2 linked regions of the Anolis sagrei genome follow. The protein of the gene in region 2 purifies or fractionates together with the protein of the main gene of each other region. This does not show direct contact. Links are inferred from orthologs where the notes say so. Each region holds a gene or a part of one and is shown on either strand. Other genes may lie near its edges.

Region 1 (7,695 bases), on a different chromosome or scaffold from region 2:
TAGATCTACAGAGACACTCGCTGGAACACCCCAGCAAGCGAGAGTCCAAAAGTGGCAGGCCCAAACCCAGCACCTCAATTCGTGGGTGATACCAGATGAGAAACTCCCCCCTGGGCACACAGAAGACTGGGTGACTTGGAAGGCGCTGAACAGACTGCGCTCTGGCACCACGAGATGCAGAGCCAATCTTAAGAAATGGGGCTACAGGGTGGAATCCACGGCATGCGAGTGCGGAGAAGAGCAAACCACTGACCACCTGCTGCAATGCACCCTGAGCCCTGCCACATGCACAATGGAGGATCTCCTTGCGGCAACCCCAGAGGCACTCCAAGTGGCCAGATACTGGTCAAAGGACATTTAACCAAATACCAAATTTGCAAAATCTGTGTGTTTTTTTTTTCCTTTTTCTTTTTAATCGGTGTGTTTGTTTTGCTCTGTTAGAATTGCAATACAATGGTTACTGATGACACGATAAATAAATAAATAGCAGCATGTAGTGCAAAACTTTAGTGGGGAGCTCAGGACAAGCGATTACTTAATCACACTAGAGAATGAATCCACTTTAAGTCCAGATTCTGCCTCCTGCAGAATTCTGGGGTTTGTAGTTTAATGAGGCTGTTAAAAGCTCCCCTCTAAACTACAAACCCCAGAATTCTGCAGGAGGCAGAATCTGGATTTAGAGTGGATTCATTCTCTAGCGTGATGAGGTCGCAAGTCCCACTGCAGCAGAAAAACCTCAAAAGAGACAAACCCCCTGAAATCCTACAACAATGCAAAATATGCATCCCACCCATGATAACCCGCACATAAGATGGTTATGCATCAATGTGCAGCCAAGGTTAAGGCTGTGCAGAGAGACCTCTGCCAGCCATATTCCAGAGTAGTCTAGCAGTGGATGAGAGGCTGAACGTCTGAGCTACACTGTGACAAGTCGGTAGAGGCAACATCTTTCAGCACCAAAGGCATCATCATCCCTTCCACATAGAGCGAATTGCAGCTTACCAAAGGAGAGGCCTTTTGGGTTCAGAAAGGGAACGGCTACTGCGAGAGAAGGAAAACATGCCTAGTGTCGAGAAATTGGATTTTCCCTTTCAGTGTCATTTAAACCTTAGAGCCTCTAAAAGAAATGTATTGGCAACAGTTTCAGAACAGGCCGTGCTTTGTCCCAAAATGCGCACCAGAACGGATCGTCTTATGTTTCTTACTTTTCATGATCAAGGAGATAAGATATGGCAAAGCGCACGACGACGGCACACTTTCCAAACTGATATGTAAACAAGGAGAAAGAAAGGAAGAAAGAAAGAAACCCAGCTTGGCAGCACGGCTGTTGCCAACTCTTACCCAATGTATTCCATCTCTAGCCAAGCCGAGAGATCCTTTCAAAGTGTAAAATCAAATTAAAAACAACAACAACAACAACAAAAGCATGCTATTAAACTGGGAGAAAAATCTCTTTCATGTCCAAAAAACCCCGTTTCAAACCCCCCCAGTGGCAGGAAAACTTGGCAACCGTCAGGGTGACAGCAAAAAGATCTAAAGGCTTTGATCCAAAAATAAATAAAGGAAGAGCGTCAAGTGTTTTCCCCAGTTTTTATTTCAAGTCTAAAATTCATGATGTTGAAACAGACTTGTGCGGCTGGAGAGAGGCCGGTCTGTTGTGGAGCCTTTGAAGACTTGTCACGGGCAGCTTCAGCCCATTCCTGGGTTTAAGAACTACTAGCCATCCCCTGCCACGCATTGCTGTGGCCCAGTCTGTGTATATGTGTTTTGTGCGTGTATATATGTGTATATGTGTCTGTGTATGTGTTTATGCATAAATATATATTTGTGCATGTGCGTATATATGTGTGTTTGCATATATATGTGTGTGGTTTTGCACATGCATTGGAATGTTGTTCTTTTTTAGGCTTTTAAGTCCCTTCTGCTGTGTTTTCCAGTGTTTTTCTGAGTGATGGTCACTCATTGGCCTGAGAGGGGTCTTGGTCCAAATTTGGTGTCCATTCGTCCAGTGGTTTTTCAGTTTCATTAATCCCACAAACAAACATTACATTTTTATTTATATAGACTAGCCATCCCCTGCCACACGTTGCTGTGACCCAGTCTGTGTATATGAGTTTTGTTTGTGTATGTATGTGTATATGTGTGTGTGTATGTGTTTATGCATAAATACACATGTGGTTATGCCAAAACCCACAGTGGGTTAAACTGTTAAACTTGCTAATGGAAAGGTCGTAGGTTCGAATCCGGGGAGTGGAGTGAGCTCCCTCTATTAGCCCCAGCTTCTGCCAACCTAGCTTGGGAGTGATCCTGGACTCATCGCTGAGCCTGGAACCCCAGGTCTTGGCGGTGGCCGGGAGAGCTTTTGCGCAATTAAAACTTGTGCACCAGTTGCACCCATACCTTGGGAAGTCTGATCTGGCCATGATGATCCATGCTCTTGTTACATCCCGAATAGACTACTGCAACGCGCTCTACGTGGGGTTGCCCTTGAAGACTGTTCGGAAACTTCAACTAGTCCAGCGAGTGGCAGCCAGATTGCTCACTGGAGCGACATACAGGGAGCACACCACCCCCCTGCTATGCCAGCTCCACTGGCTGCCAGTTCAATTCCGAGCACAATTCAAGGTGCTGGTTTTAACCTACAAAACCCTGTGCGGTTCTGGTCCAGTGTATCTGTCTGAACGTATCTCCCTTTACGTCCCACCTCGGAGTTTGAGATCATCTGGGGAGGCCCTGCTCTCGACCCCACCACTGTCACAAGTGAGGCTGGTGGGGACGAGAAGCAGGGCCTTCTCAGTGGTGACCCCTCACCTGTGGAACTCACTCCCGGGGGAAATTAGAGCATCACCATCCCTCCTCTCCTTCAGGAGGAGGGTGAAGACATGGTTGTGGAACCAGGCCTTTGGGCAACCAGGCAATTAAATAAGACAATTAAATAAGACAATCAGATGTGCAAGATCAGCAGGATTGTTGAAGTGGAATCAAAAACAGATCTATGAGTTAGTGTACACTGATAGGGTAGGAGGAAGAATTAGGTTTGTATTGATTTTATTGATTTTATCGATTTTAATTGTTTTTATTGGGATAATGGCTTGAATTGTGCTAACTATGAATTGTTGTACTTCTGTGATGATTGTTTTGTGTGGCAGGCATCTAAGCGTGCCTTTGCTGTTGTAAGCCGCCCTGGGTCCCCTACGAGGTGAGTAGGGCGGGGTACAAGAACCTCAAATAAATAAATAAATAAATAAATAAATAAATAAAATTCGAAAACATGCAAATGTGTGAGCAGATCAATAGGTACCTCTCTGGCGGGAAGGTAAGGGTGCTCCATGCAGTCATGCAGGCCACATGACTTTGGAGGTGTCTGTGGACAACGCCGGCTCTTGGGCTTAGAAATGGAGATGAGCACCAACACACACACACCCCGAATCGGAGACAACTGGACTTAATGTCAGTGGAACAATGTGGTTATGTGCGTGCATTGTAGTGTGGGTTTTTTTTTTTTTTTGGCTTTTTAAGTCTTGTCTGCTGTGTTTTTCAGTGTTTTTATAAGTGATGGTCACTCCGTGGCCTGATTGATGTATTGTCTGTTCTTTCCCTCCTTCCTTCTTTCCTTCCATTTCAGTCTTCCCTTCCTGCTTTCCTTCCTTTCTATCTTTTTTCTTTCCTTCCCTCCTTCCTTTTTCCTTGTCTTTCTTTCGCCTCTTCCTTCTTTCTTTCCTGCCTTTTTTTCCTTTCCTTCCTTTTCTGTCTTTCTTTCTCCCCTTCCTTATTTCCCTCCTTCCTTCTTTCCTTCCATTTCAGTCTTCCCTTCCGTCTTCCCTTCCTTTCTTTTTTCTTTCCTTCTTTCCTTTATTTTTTCTGTCTTTCCTTCTCTCCTGCCTTTTTTCCTTGTCTTTCTTTCTCCTCTTCCTTCTTTCTTTCTTGCCTTTTCCCCTTTCCTTCCATTTCAGTCTTCCCTTCCGTCTTTCCTTTCTATCTTTTTTCTTTCCTTCCTTCCTTTATTTTTTCTGTCTTTCCTTCCCTTCTTCCTTTTTTCCTTGTCTTTCTTTCTCCCCTTCCTTCCTTTCCTACCTTTTCCCTTTCCTTCCTTTCCTTCTTTCTTTCCTTCTTTCTTTCCTACCTTTTTTCCTTTCCTCTTTCCTTTCCTTTCCCACCTTCCTTCCTTCTTTCTTTCCTTTCCTTTCCTTCCTCCCTCCCTCCCTTCTGTTTCTGCCCCCCCCCCTCCCCAGCCGTGATGCTGCTCCCGACTCAGGTGCTGGACCCACAACCGGGATGGCAGCGGGGCAGGTCCCTGGCGAGGCGGGGTGGGGGTTGCGGGGTTGCGGGGGGGGGGGTGCGCCCCGGTTGCCAAGGCGACGTTGTGGGCCTCCCTCCCTCCTTCCCCGGGGGGGGGGGGCGTCCTGCTCGTCCCGCCCCTTTTCGGCGGCGCTTCTGCGGCCAATGGCGCGCCTCACTCTCCCGCAACCAACCTGCGGGGCCGGTGACGTCAGGCGCGGCGGCGGCGGCGGCGGCGGCGGCGGTGGTGGTGGCGGGGGCGAGATCCCCGGGTCCGCCTGCCTGCCTGCAGAGGAGGAGGAGGAGGCGGAGGCAGAGGGGGAGCCGGGCTAGCCCCCTCCTCTCCTCTGCTCTCCCTTTCCTCCTGTCCCGGTGGGTCCCCCCAGCATGGCCAAGCCCCACCGGACGCCGGCGCGCGCCTCCGAGCCCGTCATCGAGGTCAAGAGCAAGGTGAGCAGTAGTCCGCAGCAGGTGCCCTCCCTCTCCCCCCCCCACCCCGGGATGGATGGTGGGGGTCTCGGCGCCTCCGCCTCCTACGCCCCCCCCCCGCCCCCCAGGCGCCCTCCCAGCAGGGATTATGCAACCAGGAGGAGACCGGCTGGGGAGGGAGGGAGGGAGGCCTCCGGAGGGGGGGGGGGCTCCTTCCTCCTTCCTTCCTTCCTTCCTTCCTTCCCAGGCACAGCCATTGGTGAGAGAGGATGCTCCGGCTTCCCATTGCCTTCCCATCAGGAGCATTATTTTAGAGCACTGGTACTATTGTGTATCTCTCTGTGTGTGTGTGTATAGAGAGAGAGAGAGAGAGAGAAAGAGTTATTTTTCAATATTTTATTGCCATTATATTATTATTTTATATTACTATATATATATATATATATATATAAATAATTTTATCTCTGTTTATTATTATTATTATTATAGTATTATTGTATGCATATATATATTGTTTATATTATTTTGTTGACATTATATTATTACATGTATTATTTTATAGTATTATTGTATGTGTATATATAAACACATTGTTATTTTATATTATTTTGTTGCCATTGTATGTTATTTTATAATAGTATTATTATATATTGTTTTATTTCATATAATTTATTATTATTATAGTATTATTGTATGTGCATATATATAGTTATTTTATATTATTTTGTTGCTAATTATTATATATTATTTGATATTAATATTATTATATATTATTTTATTTCATATAATTTATTATTATTATAGTATTATTGTATGTACATATAGTTATTTTATATTATTTTGTTGCCATATTATTATATATTATTTGATATTAGTATTATAAACACACACATATATATACATATACATATATATAATTTCACATGAATCATATTATTTATTTATATTTATTTATATATTTATATTTATTTATATATTTTAGAGGACATTGACTGGAACAGCAATTCGACTGACAAGACTGTTTTATTGTTTTAATGCTTGTTGATGTATTGTTTTAACTTTGATTGATGTTTAATTGTGGTTTTACTATTGTAATTGTTTGTATTGGCATCGTATCGGTGCCGATGTAAGGCATTGAAACTTGCCATTATTTATGTGTAAATCGCTTTGAGGCCCCCCAGGGGTGAGAAAGGCAGGATATACATACTGTAAATAAAATAAATAAATAAATTTATGATTATTTTGTTAATATTATTAGTCTATTGTGTATTCAGTATATATTAATACTTTATATTATCTTATTCCTATTATTTCATATTATATTGCTATTATAATAATATAGTACAATATATTAATATAATACAATTGTATATTATGTATTACAGGTCATCTTACTAATAATTATTTGCAGTATAGTGGTGTAGTGCAATATAGTAATATATAACATTAGTATTGAGCTATGCTAATAATATCATATATTGTATATAGATATAATATTTATAATAATATTATAATGTAATACAATATGATACTAATAATAATACAATATTACAATATGTAGTAAGAATATTGCAATATAGTAATGGCCTCCTGGTGGTGCAGTGGGTTAAACTGCTGAGCTGCTGAACTTGCTGACCAAATGGTTGGTGGTTCGAATCCAGGGAGCAGGGTGAGCTCCTGCTGTTAGTCCCAGCTTCTGCCAAACTAGCAGTTCAAAAACATGCAGATGTGAGTATATTAATAGGTACTGCTTCGGCAGCAAGGTAATGGTGCTCCATGCAGACATGCCAGTGGCCACATGACCTTGGAAGCGTCTACGGACAATGCCGGCTCTTCAGCTTAGAAATGAAGATGAGCACCCTAGTCTTGTCCAACTCTGGGGATTGGTGCTCATAGAATCCTAGAATCCAAGAGTTGGAAGAGACCTCCTGGGCCATCATCCAGTCCAACCCCATTCTGCCAGGAAGCAGGAATATTGCATTCAAATCACCCCTGACAGATGGCCATCCAGCCTCTGCTTAAATGCTTCCAAAGACGGAGCCTCCACCACACTCCGGGGCAGAGAGTTCCACTGCTGAACAGCTCTCACAGCCAGGAAGTTCTTCCTCATGTTCAGATGGAATCTCCTTTCTTGTAGTTTGAAGCTATTGCTCCATTGCGTCCTAGTCTCCAAGGAAGCAGAAAACAAGCTTGCTCCCTCCTCCTCCCTGTGGCTTCCTCTCACCTCCTGATCCATGGCCCTCATCATGTCTCCTCTCAGCCTTCTCTTCTTCAGGCTAAACACACCCAGCTCCTTAAGCCGCTCCTCATAGGGCTTGTTCTCCAGGCCCTTGATCATTTTGTTGTTGTTCATTCGTTCAGTCGTCTCCGACTCTTCGTGACCTCATGGACCAGCCCACGCCAGAGCTCCCTGTCGGCCGTTACCACCCCCAGCTCCCTCAAGGTCAGTCCAGTCACTTCAAGGATGCCATCCATCCATCTTGCCCTTGGTCGGCCCCTCTTCCTTTTGCCTTCCACTTTCCCCAGCATAATTGTCTTCTCTAGGCTTTCCTGTCTCCTCATGATGTGGCCAAAGTACTTCAACTTTGTCTCTATTGATCATTTTAGACGCCCTCTTCCTCTGGACACATTCCAGCTTGTCAATATCTCTCTTCAATTGTGGCGCCCAGAATTGGACACAATATTCCAGGTGTGGTCTAACCAAAGCATCTCCATTTCTAAGCCGAAGAGCTGGCGTTGTCCATAGACGCCTCCAAGGTCATGTGGCCAGCATGACTGTATGGAGTGCTGTTACCTTCCCGCTGGAGTGATACTTATTGATCTACTCACATTTGCATGTTTTCAAATTGCTAGGTTGGCAGAAGCTGGGGCTAACAGTGGGAGCTCACCCAACTCCCTGAATTCGATCAGCAAGTTCAACAGCTCACTGCACCACCGGGGGGAGGGGGGCGAATATTTTTCAACTTATTAAAATATTACTTATTATTT
Region 2 (7,195 bases):
CCTTGATGGTTATCCAAAACTGGCCGCGGGCTGGGAGGGATCCTGGAGTGAAGATGTTCAGAGTTTATTGGAATACGCTTCAGTTTTACCTTCAAAGTTTATAATTTCATAAATAAATACCGATGAAAAGAGAATGTGTCTTATTTCATACATGTTTAGAGGCGGGAGAGGGTTGATTGCCTTATTTTTGTTATATGATGTGATGTGCACATGTGCAGGTTTGCAGTGGGAAAAATAATAAAAAGAAAATAGTTATAGATAGTGGGGCGAAGTGGAGGAGAAAGCAATGAAGTCTAGCGAGGGAGGAAGAGAGATATAGTGTATCTCTGGCAGTGAGGCAGGTTGATACTCTGTGGCACCAGCCATTGCTGGCTTCCCTGGGCTCTGGTTGTGCGCTGCTCCAGAAAGATCCCAGTAAACCAGCTGAGTTGGCAGGGTTTTTGGAAAATGGGGGTTATGCGTCGCTGATCAGGAGTGCTTAGGTGCAACTGGGGAGACTCAGTGAGGTGAGGGCCATGGCAACTCATGGAGGCCCTCCGCCCCCAGGAAACTACAACTCCCGCAGATACTGCATTTCCATGGTGGTGGTGGTGGTGGTGGTGGGGGGGGGGATTGGTGTTTGACAACAAAGCCATCAGTAAAAAAATAGCTTTGGCTTTGTGCAGACAGGAGGATGGAGGAAATAAGCCCAACATGTCTTCTAGTAATCCAGTACCTTAATATTTCTATCCCCATCCAATTTATTTGTAAAGAATCCACTTTATGTTGGTCAAACAGGGATCACCTTCCTGACAGTACAGTAAATAAAAAATCCTCAACGTTGGAATAAATCATATGCACTCCTTGGAAGTAGTCCAGTAAAAAACTACTTATTAACTGGGTGTCTTACCAAACCAAATATCAGTCATCCCTTCAATTTGGAGACAGAATGACAGATCAGGAGAGTGTTTGTATCCAGGGACACGGGCAAAATTATTATCAAACCAGAAGAAGGATTTATGCAGGCTTTCTGGAGTTTCCAGTTTTGTGTTGCTTAACAATGTGTTCTGTACTACAGAGCAGTGTCACAAAACAGGTGAAGGAGGACAGGTCCCACCCTGGGATTTAGTTTCAGTTCTTGCTCAGCCATCACAGGGGCCTCAGTGAGCAGCTTGCTAGGGAAAAAGAAGAAAGAAAGAAAAGAAACAAGGACTAGATGAAAGAGACAGGAAATCCCCTGGGGTTAAATTCACAATCTCTGTAATTCAGCTGAAACTAAATCTATTGGCTCATATTTCTTCTGATACTTTGCCCGGCACACATTGACTGCTTCTCCTGAGCTATGACTCACATCTCAATTACAAATCAACTGGTTCTGTGCAATTCCCCTTCTGAAGTCGGATAATATGGAAGAAATAACACATCACAACCTGGTGCAGATGTATTAAAGGCTAATGTTTTAAATGCAATGCCACAAAGAATGGCACCTTTTGGAGAAATTAGTCCTTGTTTTCTTTGTATTGTTTACTTCCAGTTGCCAGAGTGAGAGTGTTCCTGTGCCTTTAATGCTTGTGTAGAAGAGGACATTTTGGTGGATGTTGAATGTCAGACAAGCAGGTAAGAAGGTGACATACTCTGTTTTGCTCTGCACAACCATTTAAGGTCCAGGAGTCTTTCCAGTTTCACTCTGCCAACCCTTGTATTACCGTGTATTAACTACAGCCCGTGTGGTTACTAACTAAAAATATCCTCACACAATAGTTGTCACTGAATAATAGTCACACGCCCATTTTTAGGGTGGGAAATTAGTATTTTTCTGTTCCTCACAATAAGTGCACCTTTTATTCACTTGCCTGCACATCTGCTTGGGCGAGTGAAGGAAGGGTGCAACTCACCCATGTGCCTGCTTCCTTGGAGAGATGGGGTTTCACTTGGCTGGTGAAGCTCCAAGTGAAACCCCATAGTTGTAAATGGGGCAGGCATGTAGGCAGGGGAAGCTTCACTCGACCACACACCTGCCCCCTTTCTAGCTACAGGGCTTCACTTGTCTGGCAGCCAAGTGAAGCCCCATAGCTGGAAATTTTTTCACCCTGTAATAGTTGCCACAATGTAATAGTCACAAAAAAGCAAAAAAGGTGAGAAAAGTGTGACTATTATGCAGTGAAATATGGTACTTTTAAAAATATACTAAACTAGCTTATATACCTGGCATTCCCAGGTGTTGATGGTACCACTGCCTGTCTACTTTCTCCCTTCTTCAGCTCTGAAAAGGCTATTTCACAATGTTTCCCTTTTCTTTCTCCCCCACTCCCTCCTATCATTGCCTTTCCTTTCTTTATTCTCTTTCTTTCTTTCTGCTCGTAATTGTGTCCCCTTTCTTTCCGAGTGACATCACAGAGGACACCTTTATATAGCCACAAACAATCCAGTGACATCACAAAGGGCCACTTCACCTAATAACCTCCTTTGTGGTACAAATGGAAAAATATGCATGCATACATATATACTTTGAAATATATACAGAGAGAAACGATGATTATGATCATGGTTAAACAAATGATAGGTCTCCCGCCTTCATTCACTGAGGCTTGCAACCTTTAATCTGAATTTGTTTACTCAACCATAGATCCTATCAAATGATGTAGTTTACTTCCTGGTATGCCTCTTATTGTTGTAATAGTCCTTTTCAAAACATTTTGTGTCCAGTCGTAGCCTAAAGGTACACTTGAAGTTTGTTCCTTTAGTTCCTGGTAGGATAACATATCTCATGCTCTTGTCACCACAAAGTTCACAAAAAAGTTTCTTGCATGAATAGGAAGCTGTTTTGTGACACCTTTAAAGGCTAATAATAAAGCTGTTTCCTGCATGGGATGATGAAAGAAACATCATTGGCACCGATAATTATTACCTGTTAAAGATTTGTCGGCTTTGAGGGGGAGATGGAAGAAATAGGCAATGATTCCACTGAGTCACAACTACAAATATTTTCTTGTCACTGTGACCCACATTGGCCCCATGTATGCTGCCATATAATGCAGCTTGACACTGCATTTTATGGCAATGTAGATGGGGCCATAGCTATACCCACATTTAATTAATGTAGTGGAGCACTGACTTCTAAAAGCTACCCTGGAAAATGAAATTCTCCCTTCATGTTTAGAATAAGAAGCATCGTTCAGTTAGGATCCCATGGGGCATTCTTTGGCTCTCTAAGGGACCCCTACAATACGGCTTAGCTTCTGCCAGCCTAGCAGTTTGAAAACATGCAAATGTGAGTAGATGAATAGCTACTGCTCCAGAAGGAAGGTAACGGTGCTCCATGCAGTCATGCCAGCCACATGACTTTGGAGGCGTCTACGGACAACACCAGCGCTTCGGCTTAGAAATGGTGACAAGCACTAACCCCCAGAGTCAGACATGACTAGACAATGTCAGGGGAAAACCTTTACCTTTTCTTTTTCTGCTCCAGAAATAAGGCCGCAGCACAAAAATTAGAAGAGAGGAAATACAATTTGATTTTGAAACTAATGCAGAACTTGGGTTTGGGTCTTAACAGTCAATTGGCTTAAAATGGGGTGGGCAGAATATAGAGAGAGCTAGTATAGTGGCTTAAGGATGCATCTACACGGAAGAATTGATGCATATTGACACCATTAACTGTCATGTAGTTTTGCAAGGTCTGTAGCCTTCTCTGCTGCTGCTAAGTATTGGGAAATCACCAAACTCCCTGGATCCTATCGCATGGCAGTAAAGTAGTGTCAGAAAGAATTAATGATGGGGTTTTTGTAAGTTAAAGATTAACTGTATGGCCATGTTCCAGAAGCATTTTCTCCTGACGTTTCGCCTGCATCTATGGCAGGCATGCTCATTACAGTGTAGTGTGAAAAATACACCCCCTACTCTCCCCTCCCCTCCCCATTGGCTCAGAAGGAGCATGCACTTCTGATTCCAATTCTCCCTTCCTCTCCCCCCCCCCCCCCCCGCTCCCTCTGCTCTTTTTCTATTGGCCAGAGCTAAAGAGTGAGAGATAGAAGAGAAAGGCGGAGGAAGAAGGAGGAGGAGGGGGGGGGGTATGAGCTCTGACTCCCGATTGGCTGCGGTGAATAATGACTCAGGAGCCGGGTTGAAAGAAGGCGCCGCGCTAACCCCGCCCTTTCGCCGGGGCTCATTTGCATATCCGGCGGGAACGCCCCCTCCCGGAGGTATCCAGGAAGGCGAGGCGGCGGCGCTGCTGCTGCTGCTGCTGCTCGAAGGGCGAGATTGTGCGGTAAGCAACGAGATATGGAGAGCCGGAGGAAGGGGGGGGGGGGAGAGAGAGAAAGGAGAGGGTGGGCGTGGAAATAGGGCCAAGGCTGCAAGTAAGGGGGTGGGGTTGGGAGGGAGAGAAAGAGAGAGATCGAGGGAGAGAGAAAGAAAGAAAGAAAAGGGAAGAGGCAAGCTTTCCTTCCTTCCTTCCTTCCTTCCTTGTGGGGTGGGGTTACAGCTTTGCCTCCCTGCTGGAAGGTAAGTTTGCAGCCGGGCTTTGCTGAAGTGTGTGTTTTGGGGAGGGTATGGGAACAGATTTGGGGTGCTTCTCTTTTGACCTCAAGTATGAGGGGGATGGGGTAGAAGGCCAGGGTTTGGGGGAGGGGGGCTGTCTGGAGCCTGACACTTGCTGTGTACTCCAATCAGCTCTCTTGTTAGGATCTGATTGAGGGTGCATCCACACTGCTGAATGAATGCACTTTGATACCACTTTAACTACCATGGTTCAATGCTTTGGGATCCAGGGAGTTGTGGTTTCATTAGGTCTGTAGCCTTCTCTGCCAGAGAGTGCTGGGCTTCATCAAACTACAGCTCCCAGGATTCCATAGCATTGTGGCATAGCAATTAAACTGGTGCTGGACCGCATTAATTCAACAGTGTAGACCAGGCATGGGCAAACTTGGGCCCTCCATGTATTTTGGATTTCAACTCCCACAATTCCTGTTAGGAATTGTGGGAGTTGGAGTCCAAAACACCTGGAGGGCCTAAGTTTGCCCATGCCTGGTGTAGATGCACTCGCAAACACTAGGACACAAGAGTTTTTGGGTGGATGGGGTTGGATCTGACAGTATCTCAGGTTGGATGAGGCTTTGCTAAAGGTGAGGGTGGGCCGACCTTGGGGAGCCTGCCATTGTGGGCTGAGAGACTTACCTGGGTGAAAGGAACTAGTTCCAGGTGTTAGGTTTCCGGGTGTGGTGCGGCCTTTCTGGTGCTTTGTTCGCCTGGCCTTGCAGTGTGGCTTGAAACCGAAGGTATTCTGGGAGGTGGTTTGCTCTTCTCCCTATAAGGACACTTTTGTTTGCACAGGTGCCAGGGTGAGCAGCAAAGCAAGGCTATAACCTCGCTCCCCGTGGCTATTATTTGTTTCAGGTTGCTCTCTTTTTTTCCTTAATGCCACTTTATGAGTTGACGAAGGCCAAGGTAGTCATTTGGCATAAAAGTGCTTCCTTTTGTAAGCTTGCTTGAATAGAATAAAAGTGCTTGGCAGAAAGCAGACAATGATCTTGCCACAAGACAGAGATTTGAGGGTTAATTTATGCAATGAGAGAAAGCCAATGCTTTGGCACATTTAGGGTGCATCTATACAGTAAGATTAAAACTTCTATACAGTAAGAGGCGCCTTCTTTGGAGTCTTTAAACAGAGGCTGGATGGCCATCTATCGGGGGTGCTTTGAATTCAATTTCCCTGCTTCTTGGCAGAATGGGGTTGGACTGGATGGCCCACAAGGTCTCTTCCAACTCTATGATTCTATAAAACAGTTTGATCCCACTTTTAACTGCCATGATTCAATGCTATGGAATTGTGGATGTTGTAGTTTGGCGAGGCACCAGTACTCTAACAGAGAAAGCTATAGATCTTTTAAAACTAGCTATGGCAGTTGAAGTGGGGTCAAACTGCATTAATTCTATAGTGTAGATGTATCCTTGATCGAGATAGTTCTGAAGTTGGGTTGCTGTGAGTTTTCCAGGCAGTATGGCCATGTTCCAGGAGCATTCCCCCCTGATGTTTCACCCACATCTACGGCAGGCATCCTCAGAGGTTATGAAGTCTGCTAGAAACTAGGCCAGTGAGGTTTATATATCTGTGGAATGTCCAGGTTGGGAGAAAGAACTCTTGTCTGCTTGAGGCAAGTGTGAATGTTGCAATTGGCCAGCTTGATTAGCATTGAATAGCCTGGCAGCTTCAAAGCCTGGCTGTTTCCTGCCTGTGGTATCCTTTTTTGGGAGGTGTTAGCTGGCCCTGATTGTTTCCTGTCTGAAATTCCCTGTTTTTTGACTGTTGCTCTTTATTTGATGTCATGGAGTTTTTAATACAGGCAACCAGTTCTTAAGTTGTAAAAAGCTATCCTGAATTAAGTAGCTATTCTTTATGGAGATGACTGTCGTTCACAAACTGAACCAGGTTTGACTTAAATTAAAGCCTGAGGAAATTTATCTTTGGGCTATAACAACTTGAATTTATCTTCCAGAAAACAATTTCTATAACCTGACGGGATGGGGCATTCTGGGAGTTGTAGTACAAAAATAACTTTGCTGAAGTTGGTTTGATGTAATGACTGCCTCTGCTGATAAGCCTGAGGCAAACTGAAACCTCCATGCAATCTTTTAGCAATTTGAATCGACAGAACTCCCTGCCTAATAAAGGGGCTTGTCTTGTTGAGTTTCGACTACTGAAAATGGCCTTGCTACACCCCCTGAGGCAAAGCAAAGCAGGAAGCTAACAAAATCCCACACCTAAAGGCTTGTAAACTCCTTTCCTGCTTTTCTTGGAGTCTTATTTGGAGGCAGAGCATCCAAACTACAGTTTCTAATGCAAGCGGGATTCTTCAGACAGTAAAGGATTGTTGGCTGAAATAGGGACATTGTTGGAGGAAGGGCAACACATTACCAGGTCTCATTTATTCCAGCCTGTTTTGGTGAAAACTGGATCCCTTTGAAATACTTTCCCTTATTGTTGGGAATAAATCCCTCTGTGGTTGTCTTATTAATAGTCTTTCACCAGGTTTTCATTCCCAGGCTCAGACAATGGCTTATTATTCTAGATCAATGACTTGCTTCCTTTGCCCTTCACCTCTACCTGTTCTGCTGTGAAAATGGTTGTCATCTTTGCCTTTGAGGGACAGCAGACGGCCATGCAATTCTGCCTTCCCCAATCATAGGGCTGGAGATTGTGCAGCCCCCTTGGTGAACT

What was found.
Region 1: the proteins of LLGL2 (region 2) and PARD6A purify together in Homo sapiens (affinity purification with mass spectrometry; 5 studies listed by BioGRID and IntAct, with this or other methods). This does not show direct contact. The link is inferred for Anolis sagrei from reciprocal best matches to the Homo sapiens genes LLGL2 and PARD6A.

What each region holds. Positions count from the first base shown.
Region 1 is NC_090028.1:43,969,688-43,977,382, forward strand, and holds the start of PARD6A (partitioning defective 6 homolog alpha), read left to right. Parts: upstream 1-4,594; 5' UTR 4,595-4,665; coding exon 4,666-4,728; intron 4,729-7,695. UniProt on the Homo sapiens protein: Adapter protein involved in asymmetrical cell division and cell polarization processes. Probably involved in the formation of epithelial tight junctions.
Region 2 is NC_090022.1:117,844,030-117,851,224, forward strand, and holds the start of LLGL2 (LLGL scribble cell polarity complex component 2), read left to right. Parts: upstream 1-4,144; 5' UTR 4,145-4,246; intron 4,247-4,364; exon of another isoform or gene 4,365-4,482; intron 4,483-7,195. UniProt on the Homo sapiens protein: Part of a complex with GPSM2/LGN, PRKCI/aPKC and PARD6B/Par-6, which may ensure the correct organization and orientation of bipolar spindles for normal cell division.